Linked DNA regions of Nothobranchius furzeri. The protein of the gene in region 2 purifies or fractionates together with the protein of the main gene of each other region. This does not show direct contact. Links are inferred from orthologs where the notes say so. Each region holds a gene or a part of one and is shown on either strand. Other genes may lie near its edges.

The links. Proteins that work in one complex are often made in the same cells at the same time.
Region 1: the proteins of sf3a2 (region 2) and snrpb2 purify together in Homo sapiens (affinity purification with mass spectrometry; 6 studies listed by BioGRID and IntAct, with this or other methods). This does not show direct contact. The link is inferred for Nothobranchius furzeri from reciprocal best matches to the Homo sapiens genes SF3A2 and SNRPB2.

Annotation. Positions count from the first base shown.
Region 1 is NC_091746.1:29,740,425-29,744,178, forward strand, and holds the start of snrpb2 (U2 small nuclear ribonucleoprotein B''), read right to left. Parts: upstream 2,375-3,754; 5' UTR 2,274-2,374; intron 1,819-2,273; 5' UTR 1,810-1,818; coding exon 1,746-1,809; intron 1,317-1,745; coding exon 1,144-1,316; intron 712-1,143; coding exon 577-711; intron 412-576; coding exon 376-411; intron 303-375; coding exon 214-302; intron 1-213. UniProt on the Homo sapiens protein: Involved in pre-mRNA splicing as component of the spliceosome. Associated with sn-RNP U2, where it contributes to the binding of stem loop IV of U2 snRNA.
Region 2 is NC_091751.1:56,891,666-56,895,419, reverse strand, and holds the start of sf3a2 (splicing factor 3A subunit 2), read right to left. Parts: upstream 2,370-3,754; 5' UTR 2,281-2,369; intron 1,542-2,280; 5' UTR 1,519-1,541; coding exon 1,321-1,518; intron 1,227-1,320; coding exon 1,180-1,226; intron 1,059-1,179; coding exon 949-1,058; intron 860-948; coding exon 810-859; intron 499-809; coding exon 358-498; intron 281-357; coding exon 212-280; intron 134-211; coding exon 1-133. UniProt on the Homo sapiens protein: Component of the 17S U2 SnRNP complex of the spliceosome, a large ribonucleoprotein complex that removes introns from transcribed pre-mRNAs.

The DNA of each region.
Region 1 (3,754 bases), on a different chromosome or scaffold from region 2:
AACCATCACCGTCATTGTTGTTTCTCATACAGATCTCCTCTAGCTCACCCCCATGACAAATCCTGAGCGCCCTCCCCACTCTGCTGGTTCGATTCAGGTTCTGATTCTGCTGCGAGTCGCAGAAACAAAAGAATTCTGACTTTTGGAACTAAAACGACTCAGCTGGTTTCAGGTGGCTGAGGTTCTGGATGGAGGAGGTCATGTTGGACTCACTGGTTAAAGAGCATGGAGAGCATCATCTCATTGGTCTCTTCTGGAAGGTTGGTGAGGAACAGGATGTGGTTCGGGGGATTGTCTGGAACCTGAGAAGAAAATAAATAAATAAATAAAAGGTTTGAAAGCTCACAGGTATTGTAAAGATGTGGGTTTTCTCACCTGAGCAGCAGGCGTCTGGACAGGCACAACTGAAACCTGCAAAGGAACACAAGTGAATCATAAACCTTTACACAACATTTTGGTGTTCTGATGCTGGTCAGCAGGGTTTGGACCAACAGGGCCAGAACCTTTAAAATAACCTCAACCCAGAAGAGTCGGGTCTGGGTCAGAGAAGTCACACGAAGCAGAAGCAACACTCACCGCCGATGGTTTCTTAGCGGCATTTGCCGCCTGCTCCTGAGCCTTCTTCTTCTTCTCCTTCTTTTTCTCCTTGTCACTAAACGTGCCCTTCATCTTGGAGATGACCTCCGAGTCGGTCTTAGCGTACTGGATCCTCTGAGAAAACACAAGACCCGAGTCAGACCTGCAGCTCTGAGAGGGCCCACAACCCCCTCTGCTCCTGAGACAAAGCCAAGCTGCCGGTGGGTTAGGTTAGGCAAACTGTTAATGTTCTCATGTGGGAATTTTGCTTTTGTCACGACAGAAAGAGGACAGTCAAAAGGTAGGAGCAGCGAGTTTACAGAACACTAAAGTACAATAAAGACATTAAACCGCACCAACACGGCACGCTTCACCAGTAATGGGAAAAAAATTCACGCTAAACCAGAAACACTCAAATAATATTGCACACAACTAACAACTAGTATGGTGCATTGGATGCATGTGCTATGTGTATCATGTGTGTGTGTGTGGTTAACTGGGAGGTTGTTATTTTACAGTCTGACTACAGAGCAGATCAAAAACTGGAAAAGATGACAGTCTGCGTACCATGGGTTTGTTATAGAAGGGGAAGCCCTGTAGTTGCCTCAAGGCGTTGGTGGCAGCGGTGAGCTCTTTGAAAATGACGAAGGCCTGACCCCTCATCTTCTCCGTCTTCATGGCTACGATATCAACGATCTGACCAAACTGGGAGAAGAGCGCGTAGAGAGAACGCTTCAGCTCTACGGGAGGAAGGAGACAAGAGATGTGCCAAGATGGGTGAATCCATGAATGTTAATTTTCAGTGTGACCTGGGTCTGTCTGGGCTTTGGAATCCCAACGTTTCCCCGTCTCTGATCTGTTGGCAGCTAACTTAGGAAACAGAAGACTATTTTCCAGTTCAGCCTGTATGATTTCATTTAAAAATTAAAATGAAGCTGAAAAAAGAAAAACACAGTTTATCAGTTAACTTGGTGTTTAAGCAGCAACATGTTGACTGACTTGAACTTTTATTCTTTTACAAACGTATCTTTTTAAAAGGATTTAAGCCTTAAAATTGTTGTTTTTGCTTGGTATGTTTATATTGTGATGTTCTCTGTGCAAAACTTTAATACTCGTGTCTAGAGAGGTGCTCCATAAATGTAAATTAATGTAAAATCAGCTCAACTCACCTTCCTTCTTCACCTTGTCATTGATGTTATTGATGTAAATCGTGTGATTTGGCCGGATGTCCATGATAAGTGTCTGAAAACAGGAGAACCCATAATAATAATAATAACAATAATAACAGTTGATCAATGGGACGGGCTGGTATCAAATTTCGGTAATCTGGGGGATTTCGAAGTACAATTAGATTTTACTTCAACTTTTTGAACTCAAAATCTCTTGTTTAAATACCAAAATTATCCTAAACTCAACTATACGCGAATGTTAATAAATGTATATGAATGTCTAAAAATAAAAACACCGGTTTTTAACAGCGTGGGATCAGGCTGATGAAAATTAAGTTTTTAATTTAAGATTTTTCAGTTTGAAAACATGTTAGCATCAGCTAGCTCGGTGGCTAACAGATCCCTTTCTGACGAAGTTCTAGTCAAACAAGCATCGCTTTTACATAAAAAACACATTCATCTGCTCCCATGTCGCGTTACTGATAAATAAACTTGTTTCAAACTAAGTTAAATGAAGGAAAAACTCACCTTTTCTGGTCACACCTGAACACACACTACGATTAGCGCCCCGGTGTTTCACCGGATGTGTCACACCGGATATGAGCAGGGGGGCGGTGCTTATTAGGACCCACTTTTAATGAGCGGATGTCCTATTTATTACAATTTTAACGAATATCCGAATAACTTTTCACTTATGCTTACGCTCTTTTTGTGCTATCTTACATTTTTTAAAACAATAATTGATTTAAACACGTTTTTCTTGACCTATTTATCCACATTTATACATACCTGTAAATGTTCTAATACGAAACGGAATTATACTCAACAAAGTTTTGCGTCGAGTAACATTCAAAATTTTAAATGATATTATCCAAATAACTTTCTACATGTTAGATTTAACTGGATGAATAATTCATGTGGTTTTTGTGAAAATAATATTGAAAATGTAGAACATATTTTTTTTAATTTAATGTGAGTGTGTCAAGATCCTGGTTCTGGTCTATAGGGCCTTACATGGACAAACACCATCTTACATTGGTGATCTTCTTAGTCCCTACACCCCCAGCAGGTCCCTGAGGTCCAGTGATCAAAGCCTACTGGTTGTGCAGCACCAGGCTAAAGGTCAAAGGTGACAGATCATCTGCTGCTGTGGCCCCCAGACTCTGGACCTCTCTCCCCCTGAGCCTGAGATCAGTGGACTCAGTGGTCTCCTTTAAAAAGCAGCTGAAGACTCACTTGTTCAAGCTGGCTTTTGTATGACCTTCTTCACCTCTCTCTCTTTATTCTGCTCTCCCCACCTATTCCACCTTCCTCAGGATCCACTGATTTCCCCCTTTCCTATTCACTCTCTCTCTTTCTTAACATTTTTTCTTTTAAATCGCAACATCTTGCTCATTTTAAATATATTTTAAACATTTTCGAAATGCTTTTTTATATTTTTACAATTTTTATATTTTTGTTTTTGTTTTTGTGAAGCGCCTCGTGATTTTTATCTTGAGAGGCGCTATAGAAATGATATTTTCTTCTTCTTTTCTTCTTCTTCAAATATTTCTGGTGTTCTGTTCACACTTGGTTGTTGTCTAAGCATGTCACAGTAAGTCCGTTAAACTGGTTGCTATAAGTGGGGTTGTTTTTGAAAGACAAACATCAAGATTTCTTGGTAAATGTTTTGATTTAGCTGGGAAAACCTTTTATACACAGATGTAAATTCCTCAAGGTTAAGCCTCATGTAAGCGGACGGAAAAAGGATTTGGAACTGTTCAAGAAAAGTTTATATTATGTGGAGAAGAAAGATGCCCAGAGACTATCTTCTTTGTTGGATATATTCAAACTTCTAGAATAAGGCCCTCACACTTTCATATGTTTTTAATGTTAGTTACTTTTACTTTGTGTTTCTTATTATAATCCCGTGGTAAAAGCTGATTCAACACGTTTAGATATTGATAGATTGTTTGCCCTGTCTGTTGTATAAAAAAACTGTGTTCAATAAAAAAAAAGTTTGCTTCAAA
Region 2 (3,754 bases):
CTGGTGGTGGAGGTGGAAGACCGTCGTTTGATGGGTGGCCACTCATAAGTGAAGCGGGGTGCTTTAAGTTGCCAGGAGGAGCTGGACCACCAGAAATGGCTTTCTCCATTTTAAAGTGGAACTGCAGGAAAAACTGAACGAAAACAAAACATTCATACATTAGAAAATTTTTTAAATTAGTTTTTTAGTAAAAACAAAGCAGAGTCAGTACCTGTTTAGTTTCCCTGTTCCAGTGAGTCCAGAAGCGGTTTTCTGCTTTATCAATTTCCCTGCTGGGGACCTTAAAGGAGCAAACATTTTAATGTTACGGAAATGTGACACATGAGCACAATGACAAAAATTACAGTTTTCATCCACCTTAAAGGAAATAGTTTCATATGGTTCAGCAGCAAACAGCAGGTACTGCCAGCGACGGTCAGGAGGCTCGATACGCTGCTCATAAGCAGACATGAAACGGTGCCTGGGTCCAATTCCTTCAGCAACCTCTGGATAGTCGATCTGATTAATATGGGAAATAAAAACAACTTGTCAGATGTTGTAACATCTGGTTATTATTGCCCTGATAGGAACTATAGGAGTTTGTTTTGTATCTGCAACGCATCTTCAAGTGGTGTCCACAATGGGGTCATACAATGGGAGCAAAACTGTTATATTGGGCTGGAAAATAATTAAAGTGGAGCTAAACATATGATGGCATTTAACTTTGGTTTCACACGAACAATAAAGCATAAAGCCTATTATCAAGTGTCTCAGATTCCCAGAAACACAGCAGGATTTTTCCAGAATTAAAATATATTTTTTATTTTCACCTGAAAAAGTAAAGACTGCTGACCAGTCTCTGGGTCCCTCTGTTTTGTCACTGTGAAAAAAAGAGAAAGACGAGGATCAAAAGTTGTTACAAAAAGCCAAATAATGTTGATCTAATATAGAACCATGCAGCCAGTGTACCTTTGTATCCTGGTCGACCGATTTTGACAAACTTCTTGACCTCAACTTTAACCTTTGCTGGAGCTGGTTGAGCCGGCGCTTCTTTTGCCTCTTTGGCTGCTCTTCGTGCTCTAAAACACCAAATAGAAAAGATTTAACTCAGAAAGAAAAAATTATACAGGAAAATGTTTACTGACAAATATTGAACTAGTAGCAATTAATTGTGTTAGAGAATGTTTTAGGTTGACTTACAAATTGGTCTGATGCTTCTTTCCCTGTGTGTGAGCCAAGTAGCTGCCCTAAAATCAAGTAGAGGGTTTTCTTTAGAAACACAATTCCCAAATATCAAAAATTCTAACATAGCCCAATCCAATCCGTTAAGTGCCTCCTCACCTCATTGTTGTGAAGTGTCAAACAAAGTTTGCATTCATAAGAACCTAAATGATTCTTCATAAAATAGGGGTCCTTGTTGATGTCGATGGTCTCTAGAGCCAGCTGACGTAACCGTTCACGCCTGTCCCGGTTACTCTCAGAGGCAGACGCCACCCCTCCACTTCCAGTCTTCCCTCCAGCTCGATGCTGGAAATCCATTTTTTTGAAGTGATGAACTCAGTCTAAAGACAACATAAACATATAGCATCAAAGGGACAGACCAAACATAATGTATCGTGTATTTCTTCAAATAAACACAAAACAAAAAACAGAAAAAGCCAGTTCAGTTAAAACTGAACCCCTGGTGTTTTATTTTTACCATCCCTATAAAACTGAGAAACATATGCTATTTCAAATGTAGAAAACATTCACAACTATAAGTACTGTACAAAGCAGTATGCACGTAGTAACACTATCATAAATATAAATTCAACAACTTTCATATAATTGCTGATAAAATGGTAACGCTATGTGTTACAGCAGCCAGAATGAATATCTGAGCGGCACAGTTCCTTAAATGTAGTATTAATAGTGAACATTAGTCAGGACTGTATATGTATGTATGCGTGTATGTGTTAAATCTATAACTCAAATCATAAAGACTTTCTTCCCGACACCCCTTTCATCAATTTATCAATTTGTCATGATTCTAGGTTGAAACGTCTTAATTTTTAATAACATAACTAGAAAATCCCTATATTGAACTATCCTTTCGCGCACATTTTACTGTTAGCATTTAGCATCGATGGACGTCGTTCTGACAATGCTAACAGTGCTACCATATATGCAAGGATAGTTTTAAACCTACCAAAATGAACAAACTATCAGAATGAAATTAAATATAGCCTAATCAATGTTTTAGCGTTACTGCTCAGCGAACTGCACAACAAAATACTAGCTAAATATTATAAATAAACTTACGTTCTCCCAAACAAATCTAACGACAAACTGTGATGGACAGAATTGTTTTGCGCATGCGTGTTGGTTCTCAGCTTAAGCAGTTCATAAATAGTTTCAAACATTCATTGCCATCTAGTGGTCAGGAGTAAAACTGACCGACGAACAAACGTTTGCGGATAAAAGCATATAATAAAGACCTAAGAGATTAGTTTATTTAGGAGTAAAGGGCTACATTTAAAATGTGAAAAATAAATTAAAAAAACGATATGAAACATTTGCATTTTTGTTTATTTATTTAATATGTTCTCTTTAATTTTGGATCAATTGTTTGTATTATTTCTTTTGCTATGGTTTTGTTTCCCAACTTTTATTGATTTTGTTGCTTTCACTTTTAGGGTCTGGATTTAAACTAATTGTAGATTTAGACAAGGTGTTGGACCGCATCTCTCGGGGGACCCTGTGGGGGTACTTTGGGAGTATGGGGTACCAGGCCCTCTGATAGGGGCTGTAAGGTCCCTATATGACTGGTGTCAGTGCTTGGTCCGCATTGCCAGCAGTAGGCCGGGTTCGTTTCCGGTGAGAGGTTGACTCTGCCAAGGCTGCCCTTTGTCACCAATTCTATTCATAACTTTTATGGAGAATTTCGAGGCACAGCCAAAGTGTTGAAGGCATTCATTTTGGTGGCCTAAGGATGGGGTCTCTGCTTTTTGCAGATGACATGGTCCTGATGGCTTCATCAGAACGTGATCTCCGTCTCTCACTGGAGCAGTTCACAAACGAATGTGAAGCAGCTGGGATGAGCATCAGCTCCTCTAAATCCGAGACTATGGTCCTGAGTCAGAAAAGGGTAGAATGCCTTCTCTGGGTCCAGGGATGAGATCCTGCCCCAAGTGGAGGAGTTTATACATCTCAGGGTCTTGTTCACGAGTGAGGGAAAGATGGCGAGTGAGATTTACAGGTGGGATGAGATCGTGTCTGCAGTAATGCGGACGTTGTACCGATCTGTCGTAGTGAAGAGAGAGCTGAGCCAGAAGGCGAAGCTCTCGATTTACCGGCCGATCTATGTTCCTACCCTCACCTTTAGTCATGAGCTTTGGGTAGTGACCAAAAGAACGAGATTGCAGATACAAGAAGCCAAAATTAGTTTTCTCTGCAGGGTTTCTGGGCTCTCACTTAGAGATAGGGTGAGAAGTTCAGTCATCCGGAGGGGCTCGGTGTAGAGGAGCCAGTTGAGGTGGCTCAGGCATCTGATTAGGATGCCTCCTAGATGCCTCCATGGTGAGGTTTTCTGAGCATGTCCAACCTGGAGGAGACCTAAAGAAGACCCAGGACATGTTGGAGGGACTATGTCACACGAATGGCAAGGGAACGCCTTGGGATTCCCCTGGAGGAGCTGGCCCAACCTGGGGAGGGCCTCTTAGCTTAGGCTGCTGCCCCCACAAGCTGACTCCATATAAGCAGAAGAAAACAGATGGATGCTTTTGCTTTGTCAATT